2 linked regions of the Anolis sagrei genome follow. The protein of the gene in region 2 interacts with the protein of the main gene of each other region in a pairwise test. Links are inferred from orthologs where the notes say so. Each region holds a gene or a part of one and is shown on either strand. Other genes may lie near its edges.

Region 1 (7,418 bases), about 35 Mb from region 2:
TTCAAACCCTGACGCTGATTTAGAGGACCCTTTGCTGGCTTGTACTTCTTTGCCATGTTCCAACCAACAGATCCATGACCTGCAGTTTCTCCAAGGAAGGTCCAATCAGGTCAAGAAACGATACATTTTCTCATCTTTGGGAGAGTGTTTTCCCTTCAAATTGGCAGCTCCCTGTATTTATCCTCTTTTTCTGGAGTGTATAATTATTATTTTGCCTTTACTTTTTAACCCAGACCTCTTTTCCTTTCTCTTGTTAGCAACACTTGAACTTTAGAGTGCTTATCCGGAAACTCTCTCAGACTTGTGCCTTTGCTTATCTGGGTTAATATTTTCTCATGCTGAAGGAACAGTACTCTAATAGCTCATTAGTTGTGTTTGCACGTACTTTTGCCATTTATGAAGCCCTGCCATTGTGTTTGCTATTCACCAGTGCAATTATTAGATATATTTTAATTCTTGCAGATGTTTACTAAAATTCCACTTTAGACAGCTTTGTGTAAATATAGATCATTAATGGATTATTAGCAGCAGTCTACCCAAGAGATACAGCTGTCAAGGTGACATGATCCCAATGCAATTGGTTTAATTTTTTATTTTTAGTGTCTTTTAGCAGGATTTTTGTATTTTATTTCTTGTTATTATGTTTATTAAGTTAAATTAGATTGTTTTATATTGTCCAATGTGCTTGTCTTGATATAATTTGTCTGTATAGTTTTCTTTTTGGCAATTGAATGTTTGTGTTATATGTTGGAAACTGTCCTGAGTCCCTTTGGGGAGATAGGGTGGTACACATATATGAATAATCACTATCACCATCACCATCATCATCATGCAGAAACATGTATGAGTCCATTGATATGTTCTACAAGCATCCCTTGGAACATAATGAAATCCAGAACTGGGCAAAATTATCATTTGGATCATTTGAGCATGTGGCTGAAGTGGAAAGTAAATGAGAAAGCAAAATGTTGTGAGAAAATAACATTTGAGGTGGGCTATGCAATCATTTGAAGTGAGCCACCATCCCCTCCTCAAAGCCACCCCAGGAATGGTCTCAGAATGAGCAGGTAGCGAAGAATTTTTAAGAAAACTATGTGGTAAATTTAAAATTGTGCATTTATGGGAGAGAATTAAAGGCAACAGAGCAATATGTTTGTGTATAGAAACCTCCCAGTTGATTATTTTTGCCTTAGAGGTAAACAATAACAAATTGCCAAGAAAAACGTACAAGTGAGTTAATTTGAAGGCACACAACAAGAACATATGTAACAAAACAAAGACTGTAATCTGATCGTTTTTGAAAAATTGCCACAAGACACCAGCATTTCTCAACTCGCTTCTAAATTCAAACAATATATAGTTATCTAAAAGGTATACCAAAAGGTGTGATGAATAGGGGAAACTCACCTTAGCAAGCCATCTTGGGCATTGCTATTGTAGTGGTGCTCATGACTGAACTTGTAAGGTGGCTCATATTTCCTGTGAGATTCTGGGAATGCGACGTTACACCTTGCCAATCTCTGACCTCCTTTCATTGCAGCATTGCAAAGCTGAAATGTTTCCTTTAATTGTTCATACCTGAAATCAAATCAAACATTCTGCACATGACATCTGAGATCAGCTGTCGGCAACCTGATTTCAAAAAATCTTTTGACAAAAGTAACTGGCCCCAGAAGAAGGGGTAAAGAGAGAAACAAAGAGAAAGCAAAAAAGCTTGTTTTAAAAAACTACTGGCAATATCCTCTTCTGGTTTCATACCTGATTCCTTGGTCATCCCCAAGATGAACCTGATGAAATTAATTCCCAATATGAAAAGTATCATTGTCTCCTTGTCCAATCCAGTTGAGCTTGTTTTGTTACTAAAGACTTGCATGTCACTAGTTCTTATCACTTCTAATATCATTAACTTCATAGCAAACCAGTACAACCTATACTTCAATCTAAAATTAGGAAACTTACCAATATTATTCCTCTGCCCTAAAGATAATGATCTTTTATACATGTGCCAAGTTCCTTTTAGCATTGCATAACACTAAAAGCTATTTGAATGTTTTTGGTATCAGAATGCTGGCTCAGATGGACCTTGGCTTGATCTGGCAAGGCTGTTCCTGTGTTCTTGGCATTCAAAAGATGCATCATTATTGAATGATGGCAGTGAGTAGGCTGAAACTGAAGCAAATGCTAATAAATCATGCATGACTTCTGTCCCCAGGTTAATAGGATTGAGGTGTAACTTCTTTGTCCTAGAGCAAAAAATATACTTTGCAAACAATGGTGACGGGACAAGTACAGAAATATGATCCTCCACAATGCCATGACATTTTTTTTCATAATTTAATAAAATAATATGAAGCCAAGGAGCAGAAGAAAGCAATATTTGTGGACTGAAAAGATTAAATCAGAAGTCAGAGCACACATCCATTCATATATCTCCCCAGCATTGGTGTAAGTATGCATCAGCCCCAAAACAGAACCTTACAGACCAATCCAATTTCTCTCTGAGAAGGGGAGGAACCACTCTTTAGCCCACAATGCTGCTAAAAATCCACCTAACAATAGCACTATCTGGCCTTTATTGTTAATCATTACCTGCAAGAGTTTCATGAGGAGTCTTATGGAAATGTCAGGAGAGAATGCTTCTGGAACATGGCCATACAGTCCGAAAAACTTATAACAACCCAGTGATTCTGGCCTTTGACAATACATTCTTACTGAAATGATAATATAGTGGGTTCCAGTATTCTCCATGGACACTTTTAATAAATATTTTCAAACGATGGACGATTGAATATAACGGATTGCGAAACAAATAGTTGCAACCATAATGAATATATTTTTACAAAAAAATGATGAATTAGAAGTAACTACTTACGTTTCTTGTGATATAAGGGGACCAGGAGGGATATGGAATGGAGTCAGATGATTAGTAGATTCCAAAGCTTTTGTTACTACTGCTGATTCTTCTTGCTCATTTCTGTGATAGGACATGCGTGGGCGCAGTTCCATCTTTAACGGCTATAGGAAGGATTCATATGCTGACTGTTCAGTGGTTAAAGAGGCCAGTTCCTGTTTTTGCTTCAGTTGGGCATTAAAGTTCTGCCTGAAAATGTAACAATAACTCACTTTAAGACAGAGCCTACTTCATTACAGGAAAAAGATCACTTTTCAAAGCTGCTAGTGAGCAGCTAAGGATGAAAAGAGAGCTTACCTTCCCATGTAGGTGTCATGTAGTGCCCTGTACCAGTTTTCAACCCTGCCACTCAGGTGATATGTGACATCACAATGATGTAGCCAGGGACTGATCATGAAATAGAGGAAAGTCTTATGGCTGTTGCTTTCATTCCTTAAACTGCTTTAATTGGGCATCATGGTTTTTAATCAATGGATGCAAAAAAGTGAAACATATTACTGTACAATGGGTAGTGGTGAGGGACTAATTGGTTCTGTATTCAAGAAGGCAAATCTAAATTGACCTCTAATTCTCTTTGGACATTTTAACAAAGCTGTTATCCTTTCTCTGGGAACCACTGAAATAAAAGGATATGTCTGTTACCAACAGCTGGATTTTTCTATTGAGTAAACTGGATCATTTTGTTTTGTTTTCCGGATAGGAACAGAATGGGAAATGGGTGTTGTGTGGTTTTTGGACTGTATGGTCATGTTCTAGCAGCATTTTCTCCTCCTGACGGTTTGCCTGCATTTGTGGCTGGCAGATGATGGAAAGTGTTAGTGCATTTGAGATGACAGTGGAATTAGTTCCTAGCTGATGTGTCCTTACTTATTTTCATGTTCATGTTTGATTAGGGATGCTTAACAATAGATTTCATAAGGAGATTTGCAGCATGCCTATATCTGTCCACCCTGAAGGAATTCCCACGAAATTCAAGAAACAAGACATTCAAGACACAGTGATTTGTAACTAGAAGGAGTATGGCTTATTGCTATGTAAATAGTATTACATCTGTATTGTTGAAGGCTTTCATGGCCGGAATCACTGGGTTGTTGTAGGTTTTTCAGGCTGTATGACCATGTTCTAGAACAGTGGTTCTCAACCTATAGGTCCCCAGATGTTTTGGCCTTCAACTCCCAGAAATCCTAACAGCTGGTAAACTGGCTGGGATTTCTGGGAGTTGTAGGCCAAAAACCTGGGGACCCACAGGCTGAGAACCACTGTTCTAAAAGCATTCTCTCCTGACGTTTCACCTGCATCTATGGCAGGCATCCTCAGAGGTTGCATCTCTTTATATATTTCAAATTGCAACTGGTGGGAATATGGCTTTTGCAGAAGGGTTTTTGCAGGACCAAACTTAATCTGGCCATGATTTACCATGTAAAGCATTCCATCTGCAGTGAATTGCTCACAGGAACTGGCTTCAGTCCACCATTTCAACCCAGAATTCCTGATCTTGGATGTTTCAGGTTGGAACTAGATGGAATATGGATTTTGTAATGCTGATGCTGGGTTGTTTATTTCCTCATAATGGAGAGTTAGTGGCCTAGCTCATGCGGCCGTTAAAGATTGCCATGTGAGCTACATTCCCAGTGTGCATGTGCCAAGCTGGCTGCTGCTGAATGCTGTGTAGTTCTGTCAGCAGAAGCAATAGCAGGTGTCAGCAGAATGGTACAAAAATGATAGCCTTATGGTTAGGTCCTGGAATCAAACTCCAGCAGATGGAGAGACCTAATGTATAACCACAATTCTATGCTGTGGATATTTGGGTTCATCTAATGATTAATCACTGATGTCTTTGGATTCGTTTTAAAGGAGCTTTGTTGTGGTTCAATGAAGAGGTTACTCACAAATACACATTTTGTCTGAGTTGCAAAGAAAATTAAGAGCTTCTGAATCTTCATGATTTTTATGCCTGCAAATGATTTATTCAACTCCTTTTCCTGCCTCTTTGCAATTCATGAATAATATTTGTGCATGGATAATAAATAATCTACAGGTAGTTAGATACCCATGCTTTCTGTACCTGTCCAATATCTGCTGATGGTTTTGCATGCTAGGTCATGATTATTTTCCTGCCTTCTGTACTGGAAAACCAGAGAGAATTTTGCATACAATCTCTTCATTTTGTATCTTTAATACAAGTTTTTATCAACCTGAGGTTAGGAAGAATAATATTAGCCATACTGCATGGGAAGGTATAGCTTCTATGGCTTGTTTGTTTATTTGTTCAGTCACTTCTGACTCTTTGTGACCTCATGAACCAGGAGGTGAGGCCAAACATTCATTAGTTGGTTTTCTTCATATTGGTGGTTCCTCTAATTCATCAGCATATAATTTTTGATCTTTCAGACAGGAGAATTCCAAATCGTATAATCTATCACCATAGATTTGATGGGGACTATAGTCCAGAAATATCTGGAGGTCTTGAACTTGCCACCTCAACCACTGTTGACATGAGGACTTAGCCACCCTGAGTCCCTTCTTTGTGTTTGTGTAATGTTAAGGAATTCTGTGGATTTCTCTGTTGGTCTCACCTCTCACGTTTATGTTTTCTCCTTATTCCATATACAGAAATACATCAGTTATTTATATAAAAAAACATGTTTAGTGACATAAAAAACAAGATAGCTGTATTGGCTCAAAGAGGAATGTCAAATGGTTTGAACGTTGTACTAAGATTCCCAGAGAGAAGGGTCTTGGATATTCATTTGACCATGGAAATCCAATAATGCCATTGGGCAAGTCACCTCTGAGGAAGGCAATGTCAAACCCCTATGTCAAACCCGCAAATATTGGCAAGAAAACCTATTATAAGTTCACTTTAGGAGCATCCTTTGTTGGAAATAACTTGAAGGCACATAATAATAACTGACATAATGCAAATGATCGGAAAATATTTAATTAGGTAAGATGGCCCATAAAGCAAAACTGGATATTAAAGTCAAATATTTGTTTTTGTTGACTACGGTCAGATTGAGTTTGACTTATGATGACTATATGAATGAGAGATCTCCAAGCTTCCCTGTCCTTAGTAGCCCTGCTCAGGTCTTGGAGATTCTGGGCTGCGGCTTCCTTGATTGAGTCCACCCATTACAATATGGTCTTTCTCTTTCTGTATTGTCTTCTACCTTGGATGGGACATCGATGTGAAGGAGTGCAAGATTCAAGGCTTAGCATAAACTTTATCTCTTGTTTCATTTGTTCACTGATTAATCTTAACTGATGAAGAGTCTTGCAGAACTCAAAAGCCTGCACAATATTTTTGTGTTTATTAAAGGTATAATTTTATGAAGCTCTTTTGAGAATCTTAATGGGGTGAGGGCAGTATGAGCTACTACAAACTGCAAGTGTGCAAGAAATACAGTTTTTAAAAAGCCACTTAGGCTAATACTCACTACTAGATAATAATCACCACCATAATAACAGTATAGGTCTTAAAATATTAGGTTCAAATTATTTTCCTCTACATTATTTTATGAAGCAGGATAAAAGGTAATTAAAAGAGAACATAATTGTTGTTCATTCTTACTAATAAGGTATGTGCAGTGTGCAAAGTAGTCTCATATAATTTCTGGAAGATGAAATGTTAACAATTATTAGAAAAAAATGGAGACATTATTATCCTATATCTTCATACCGAGTGATAACTTACCCTGGTCTTATTTATATTTGCATAGTATTGCTTAAATGAATTGTTGTGTCTAATGTCAAAAGATTAAACATAGCTTGAGGAGTTGAATGATTACTTTAGTACACTCAAGATATTAAACCATATTTAAATATTCATATTCATATACTTCCAGTGGAAAAGTGTGTTACAAAAGTTATTGAACCGTTCTGATCTTGATATTTTTTTTTTCTTATGTTTTGGTGACTTTTTCTTTAGCCTGAAGTGCATGAGGATTGCCTTTCCTCTTTGCAAATACTCTTATGACTTCTTAAACCACAATAGACTTCATATAATCACATTTTTTTTATTTTGCATACATTGTTTCCACTTACCCGACAATACTCCCACCCCCATGTTTTTTTGGGTGGTGGTGGTTACAATTGATGAGACATAAACTATACAGAGTTCAGCTGAGATCAGAATATAGTATGGGAATAAATTAATATAATAAGAATATTAGGTGACCCTAAAGTGTTTGTTTTAGAACAAATGCTTTATAATGGAAATCCTCTTTTGAAGGCAGGGGTGTTTTAACCTTGGTCTCTTTTTTTTTTCTCTTGCAATTCGACAATAACACTATACAAAGGAAATTAATCCAAGCTCTTTCAGTGATTTGCCTCTTCAGCATTGGATTCACTTCTCATAGAGTTGCTTGAACTGCTGAACCTGAAGAAGATAGGGATTGGTTGAAGGGGAGTGAATGAGAGGGAAAGGAAGGAAGGAAGGAAACGAAGAATTGATTAGCTACAACAAAGACTATTGATAAGATGCAGAAGAATGCAAGGATCCTGCATG
Region 2 (7,989 bases):
GAGACAACGCGGAGATGGAAGAGGCGGCATCCCAAGCCAGTCTGAATCCAGGTGGTCATACTGCAAAGAAGTAGAAGGCAACCATGGAGATAACAGGTGAACCATCTTGAGATATCACTTAGGACCCTTTGACACAGCCATATAACCCAGAATATCAAGAATATCCACAATATCTGCTTTGATCTGGATTATCTGTGTCCGCATTGCCATATAATCCAATTCAAAGCAGATAATGTGGGATTTTATACAGTTGTGTGGAAGGGGCCATAGTGTTATTTAAAGACTCACATAACTAGTAAATGTTTTGCTGAGATATATAATGCAAGGAGATCAGATGAAGCAACTCCAAGAGTTGGTCATCAGAGTTCTACTTAAAAACCACTAATCAAGGGGAGTCCATTACCCGCTGGGATAGTCTATCCCATGCTCGCCAAAATACAGATCGGATAATCCTGGTTTTAAATGTTATGGGGTTCCTGGAAATATGGAACCCCATAACCCCAAGGGTGCTTTGAAAGTAATCTAATTCTCAATGTAGAGCACATCCATAGCATGTCAAGTGCATGGCTACCCAGACTCTGCTTCAATACCTCCAGCAAAAGAGTGGAAATCATCAATCACTTTTCAAATGACTACTTGGTCAGATTAAGCCACAGCCCACTAGCATTTATGACTGGTCGGACCCATTTGATTTTTATGTCTCTTGAAACCAGAGTATCTCTCTAAACACCAAATGCTGGGATCACATCAGTTTCTATTGTCACCTGTCACTCATTGTAATCAGGATGCTGAGCGGGACAATCCTTTTCTCCAATCTGGGAAGGGATTTGTCCCCCTTTTCACACGTAAATCACAGTATCAAACTGGTCCCAGTTTGGGAGGCACAGCCCTGATTGATCCTGTCATCCCATTTTCTCATCTGTTTTTCCAAAATGTCCCAGTGGATCTTTCCTCCTCCCAATTTCTCCTTGCTTTTATCCACTCCAGCAAACTGAGGCCCCTTCCAAACAGATGTATCAAATCCACATTGAACTGGATTATATGCTAGTGTGGACTCAGATAACTCAGTTCAATGCAGATATTGTGGATTATACATATGGCTGTGTGGGAGGGACCTGAATTCAAAGTATGGATGTAGTTTTCAGATGAGAAGGAGAAGAAGGCACCATCTTGCCCTTCCCAGTAGGCTTTGGCAAAAGCAAACTATTGATGCATTCTTCTTCATTATAAAGTTTTCCCAACTTGACTGCATTCTTATATTTCTTGGTTCCCTTCCACACAGCCCTATATCCCAGAATATCAAGGCAGAAAATCCCACAATATCTGCTTTGAACTGGGTTGTCTGAGTCCACACTCAGATAATGTGGGATTTCCTACCTTGATATTCTGGGATATAGGGTTGTGTGGAAAGGCCCTAAGTTGTATGCATTTTGGTTTTCATTTGTGAAATGTTGGAAATTTTGCAGTATATAGATATTTGTCAGAGTAATCTCCGCCCTCCCAATATGATACGTGAAAGAGGGAGTCAAACTAAAGCTATGCCATAAAGATTAAAATCACTTGGGGTTGACTCCCCATTCCAACAAGAGACGAATACAGCTCTTGGTTCAAAAGCAGAAATATGTGCATTGGGAGGAGTTATCCATTACCTGCAAGAAATAGGAGTTCATTGGATCTTCTTTATTGTCCTCATTGTAGTAAAGTCCCCCTGCTATGAAGACCTGGTTCTCGCGGGTGACCAGGCTGACGTGGTTCTTTGGGATCTGGGCAGAAAGTGAGGCGTAAAAGCACTCATTGGCTGACGGGTCATAGGCCACCGCCCCCGAGTCACTGACCATGAAAATGAGATCTTGAAGAAACATCCCAAACCTCATGGTGTCATTCAAGATCCCTGGGAGACCTTCCTCTGCTTCCTCCTCCTCCTTCTCAACACCGTCTTCCTCTACTCCTCCATTGATGACATTGTCCCCAGCCTTCTTCTCCCCTTTTTTCTTCACTCTTTTCACCACTGCAAATTTCCCTTCATGGGCGTCCTTCACCATCTGCAACTTCTTGAGAAGTTCTGGGCTGGACTTGACCAGAGGGTGCTTCTCCACATGATCCTTGAAGTAATCCTTCTCAATGAGGCGAAAACGGATGCTGTCAAAGACCACTGGCAGGGCCTTTGCTCGGCTCTCCCGGTCTTTGGTTGTGGCCCATTTCATCACCACCTCAAAGACGGACTCTTCCTTCTCGATATTCAGGGAATCACTGGAGATGATGGCAATGAGTTCATCGGGGGAGAGCTGGAAGAATTCCTCATCCCGGGAGATCAAGGCAAAGCGGTCACAGATGAAATCCCGGGCAGCGACTGCCAAGCGGGCACAGTCCAACATCAAACCCAGCCTGAAAATGGCCAAGCAGTTGCTGAGGCAAAGCCGCTTCTGAAGGAAAGAGACACAGACGGTGAAAATGGAAGGGATCTGGAACATGTTGGCCACGGAGAAGATATCCTGAACGTTCTGCTCGGTGAGCTCCAGTTCTGAGGTGTAGATGTAATGGAGGATCTTGCCCATGACGTCTGGATCCACATCTTCTAAGCTGATCTCCCTTTTCTTGCTCTCTTCCATATCCGAGAGGAACATGGCCCTGAAGTAAGGACTGCAAGCTGCCAGGACCAAGCGGTGACATGGAAACTCCTTCCCTTTCACCTTCAGGACACAATCCAAGAACTTGTTGTGGTCCAGCAAGTCCTTGAGACCATCTTGAAGAAGCGTTTGCTGGTAGAGACGTAACTCTTCCGCTTGTTCTAAGGAGACGGCCATGGTTGAAAACTTGTCTGGTCTTCTTCGTTGACCCGGTCTTCCAGCTCTTGTGAACCTGGGAGAGCTCTTTCTTGATTCCTGATGGAGCGCTGACCAAGAATATGAGCCTGGCTGCTTGTCCAGCTGGCTGTGTGGCTCAGTTTCCACAGCGCGAGGGGTTTTTATATATATAGCCACGGCGTTACAAAGCTTAGGGAATCCATTCGGGAGCATGTGTAAGCCGATCACCTTTTAATATGACAAACTGGCCCACCAGGGAGGGATGGCTCTTGCGGAAGGGGAGGGGGACGACACAAGGAGCAACAGCTGTAAGTGTAATTCTAGATCTATGACAGACGCTGTCACGATGATTCACTCAGGAGAGGTATATTTCTTTTTCCTGAAGGTCTTTCGCCCCCAGCCCAAGACTTGTGAGCAGCCCCTCTAGGAACAAGTTACGCCTTGGAGTAAATCACAGCAATGAAGGCTCTAAAATCAGTTATGGGATCTGTGTTTGGGTTCATATCCTTCTATCCCTCTCTTCAGCACATGCACACACATTGGAGCGTACCCACAGATGCCACATCCCTGCTCTCGCCTTCTAAATCCAGCGCAAGGCTTAATGTGCTAAAAATATACTGCAAAGTCAGAGTTGAATAAACAGGGAAGAAATGCCTCTGATTATTTGTTGTGGCATGAGGACATCTCTCTCTCTTCCAAGTCGCGGAGGCTATTGATCATAAATTTGATTCATTGCTATATATATATATATATATATATATATATATATATATATATAATCATAGAATCAAAGAGTTGAAAGAGACCTCATGGGCCATCCAGTCCAACCCCCTGCCAAGAAGCAGGAATATTGCATTCAAATCAGCCCTGACAGATGGCCATCCAGCCTCTGTTTAAAAGCTTCCAAAGAAGGAACCCCCACCACACTCTGGCGCAGAGAGTTCCACTGCTGAACGGCTCTCACAGTCAGGAAGTTCTTCCTCATGTTCAGATGGAATCTCCTTTCTTGTAGTTTAAACCATTGTTTCGTGTCCTAGTCTCCAGGGAAGCAGAGAACAAGCTTGCTCCCTCCTCCCTGCGGCTTCCTCTCACATATTTATACATGGCTATCATATCTCCTCTCAGCCTTCTCTTCTTCAGGGTAAACATGCCCAGCTCCTTAAGCCTCTCCTCATAGGGCTTGTTCTCCAGACCCGTGATCATTTGAGTCGCCCTCCTCTGGACACATTCCAGCTTGTCAATATCTCTCTTGAATTGTGGTACCCAGAATTGGACACAATATTCCAGGTGTGGTCTAACCAAAGTGGAATAGAGGGGTAGCATGACTTCCCTGGATCTAGATACTATGCTCCTATTGATGCAGGCCAAAATCCCATTGGCTTTTTTTGCCGCCACATCACATTCCTGGCTCATGTTTAACTTGTTGTCCACGAGGACTCCAAGGTCTTTTTCACACGTACTGCTCTCAAGCCAGGCATCGTCCCCCATTCTGTCTCTTTGCTTTTCGTTTTTCCTGCCAAAGTGGAGTATCTTGCATTTGTCACTGCTGAACTTCATTTGTTAGTTTTGGCCCATCTCTCTAATCTGTCAAGATCGTTTTGAATCCTGCTCCTGTCCTCAGGAGTAAAGATGTTGAACAGGACCAGGACCAGGACGGAACCCTGCGGCATTCCGCTCGTCACTTCTTTCCAGGATGAAGAGGAAGCATTGGAGAGAATCACCCTCTGGGTTCGTCCATTTAACCAATTCCAGATCCACCTCACCATAGTTTTGCCTAGCCCACATTGGACTAGTTTGTTTGCCAGAAGGTCATGGGGGACCTTGTCGAAGGCCTTCCTGAAATCCAGGTACGCTACATATATATATATGGTTCTGTGCACATGGCTGTTCCAAGTATCTGGATGTTTCAGAGGAGAGGTTATATCCGATGCCACCTCAGGTACAGCAGAGTAAAGATGCCATGTAAAATAAACTTTTTACAGTCAAACCTTCACTTTGGACCTAGAGATTCATAGAGAGGAGTTCTTAAAGAGCTGGGCATGTTTAGCCCGCAGAAGAGAAGGCTGAGAGGAGACATGATAGCCATGTATCAATATGTGAGGGGAAGTCATAATAAGGAGGGTGCAAGCTTGTTTTCTGCTGCCCTGGATGCAATGGAGCAATGGCTTCAAACTACAGGAAAGGAGATTCCACCTGAACACGAGGAAGAACTTCCTGACTGTGAGAGCTGTTCAGCAGTGGAACTCTCTGTGCCGAAGTGTGGTGGAGGCTCCTTCTATGGAGGCTTTTAAACAGGGGCTGGATGGCCATCTGTTGGGGATGCTTTGAAAGTGATTGTCCTGCTTCTTGGTAGGGGGTTGGACTGGATGGCTCACGAGGTCTCTTCCAACCCTAGGATTCTATGATTCTCACTAGCACTGCCTGAACATCAAGCAAAAAGTGGGTGCTAGAAACAATATCATACGAAAGCTGACTGGCACAACTTGTGGATCACAACCAGACACAGTAAAGACATCTGCCCTTGCGCTATGCTCCTCTGCTGCTGAGTATGCATGCCCAGTGTGGAACACATCTCACCACGCTAAAACAGTGTATGTGGCTCTTAATGAGACATGCCGCATTATCACGGGGTTTCTGCGCCCTACACCACTGGAGAAACTACACTGCTTAGCCGGTATTGCACCACCTGACATCCACCGGGAAGTAGCAGCCAATAGTGAAAGGACCAAGGCAGAGACATCTCCAGCTCATCCCCTGTTTAGGTATCCGCCAGCACGTCAACGACTTAAATCTAGAAATAGTTTTCTAAGATCTACAGAGACACTCGCTGGAACGCTTCAGCAAGCGAGAGTCCAAAAGTGGCAGGTTCAAACCCAGAACCTGAACCAATGGCTGATACCAGATGAGAGACTCCCTCCTGGGCACACAGAAGACTGGGCGACTTGGAAGGGGCAGAACAGACTGCGCTCTGGCACCATGAGATGCAGAGCCAACCTCAAGAAATGGGGCCACAAAGTGGAATCCACATCATGCGAGTGTGGAGAAGAGCAAACCACTGACCACCTGCTGCAATGCAATCTGAGCCCTGCCACATGCACAATGGAGGACCTTCTTGTGGCAACACCAGAAGCACTCCAAGTGGCGAGATACTGGTCAATGGACATCTAATCAACTACCAAACTTGCAAATTTTGTGTTTTGTCTGTCTGTTTGTTTGTTTTGTTCTGTTAGAAATGTAATACAATTCACTGGTTGCCCTGACACGACAAATAAATACTAGCAATCTCTCGGTACTCCAGCACAACTCTTTAGTAAACATCCAACTGAAGTTGTAGGATGACCTAGAGTTTCTTAGAAAGCCTATATTAATTAAACCAGTGAATGATGAACTCTTCAATAGTTCAACACTTTAACTGCCATATCCCAATGCTATGGAATAGTGGGAGTTGTAGTTTTACTAGGTCTTTTGCCTTCTGTGATAAGGCACTTAGCCATGTTAGTTCAAGTGGGGTCAAACTGCATTAATTCTACTGTGTAGGTGCACTCTCTGTTTGTTGTTGTTGTTGTTGTTCATTCGTTCAGTCGTCTCCGACTCTTTGTGACCTCATGGACCAGCCCACGCCAGAGCTCCCTGTCGGCCGTCACCACCCCCAGCTCCTTCAAGGTCAGTCCAGTCACTTCAAGGATGCCATCCATCCATCTTGCCCTTGGTTGGCCCCTCTTCCTTTTGCCTTCCACTTTCCCCAGCATAATTGTCTTCTCTAGGCTTTGCTGTCTCCTCATGATGTGGCCAAAGTACTTCAACTTTGTCTCTAGTCTCCTTCCCTCCAATGAGCAGCTGGGCTTTATTTCCTGGAGGATGGACTGGTTGGATCTTCTCGCAGTCCAAGGCACTCTCAGCACTTTCCTCCAACATCACAGTTCAAAAGCATCTCTCTTCCTTCGCTCAGCCTTCCCTAAGGTCCAGCTCTCACATCCGTAGGTGACTACAGGGAATACCATGGCTTTGACTAGGCAATGGATCTTTGTTGTCAGTCTGATGTCTCTACTCTTCACTATTTTATCGAGACTGGACATTGCTCTCCTCCCAAGAAGGAAGCGTCTTCTGATTTCCTGGCCACAGTCTGCATCTGCAGTAATCTTTGCCCCTAGAAATACAAAGTCTGTCACGGCCTCCACGGTTTCTCCTTCTATTTCCCAGTTGTCAATCATTCTTGTTGCCATAATCTTGGTTTTTTTGACGTTTAGCTGCAACCCGGCTTTTGCGCTTTCTTCTTTCACCTTGATTAGAAGGCTCCTCAGCTCCTCCTCGCTTTCGGCCATCAGGGTGGTGTCATCTGCATATCTGAGGTTGTTAATGTTTCTTCCAGCAATTTTCACCCCAGCTTTGCATTCATCCAGCCCCGCACATCCTCGCATGATGTGTTCTGCATACAAGTTAAAAAGGTTGGGTGAGAGGATGCAGCCTTGCCGGACACCTTTCCCAATCTTGAACCAGTCTGTTCCTCCGTGGTCAGTTCTGACTGTGGCTCCTTGGTCCTTGTACAGATTCCTCAGGAGAGAGGGAAGGGGGCTTGAGGTGCCCATCCCACCAAGAACTTGCCACAATTTATTATGATCCACACAGTCAAAGGCTTTAGAATAGTCAATGAAGCAGAAGTAGATGTTTTTCTGAAACTCCCTGCCTTTCTCCATTATCCAGCGGATATTGGCAATCTGGCAATTGGGCACTCTCTGTAGTTGCCCAATAATTAATTACCTTCTCCAACCTCATCTGGATGCTTCAGACTACAGCACTTACCATCCACAGGCAGTCATTGTGGATGATGGGTATTGTAGTCCAACACATTGAAATGCCACATTGAGGAAGACTGATTTGGAATATTGCTATTGACAAATTAAACCTAAAGGAAGTCAACCTGGCTCAGATGATGGGTGCATCTACACTGTCGACTTAATGCATTTTGACCCAACATTGACTGCCATGGTTCAGTGCTATGGAATCCTGGGAGCTGTAGTTTAGTGAGGCACCCGCACCTTTGGGCAGAGAAGGCTAAAGAACAAAAACTCCCAGGATGGTTTGTAATCCACTACATTTGGCAACAAGGGGTTGTAATGCACCACTTTTGAAAGTTATCAGGTGCGTAGATTCTGACCGTAACACCTGGAATATTGTGTCCAGTTCT

Evidence for each region.
Region 1: the proteins of KLHL40 (region 2) and SPMIP4 interact in a two-hybrid assay, tested with the Homo sapiens proteins (2 studies listed by BioGRID and IntAct). The two-hybrid records come from large-scale screens. The link is inferred for Anolis sagrei from reciprocal best matches to the Homo sapiens genes KLHL40 and SPMIP4.

What each region holds. Positions count from the first base shown.
Region 1 is NC_090026.1:92,245,701-92,253,118, reverse strand, and holds the start of SPMIP4 (sperm-associated microtubule inner protein 4), read right to left. Parts: upstream 3,007-7,418; coding exon 2,873-3,006; intron 1,579-2,872; coding exon 1,408-1,578; intron 1-1,407. Other genes in the region: NPVF (pro-FMRFamide-related neuropeptide VF), read right to left, coding at 7,229-7,289. UniProt on the Homo sapiens protein: Microtubule inner protein (MIP) part of the dynein-decorated doublet microtubules (DMTs) in flagellum axoneme. May serve to reinforce and thus stabilize the microtubule structure in the sperm flagella.
Region 2 is NC_090026.1:127,205,061-127,213,049, forward strand, and holds the start of KLHL40 (kelch-like protein 40), read right to left. Parts: upstream 3,031-7,989; 5' UTR 3,018-3,030; coding exon 1,650-3,017; intron 61-1,649; coding exon 1-60. UniProt on the Homo sapiens protein: Substrate-specific adapter of a BCR (BTB-CUL3-RBX1) E3 ubiquitin ligase complex that acts as a key regulator of skeletal muscle development.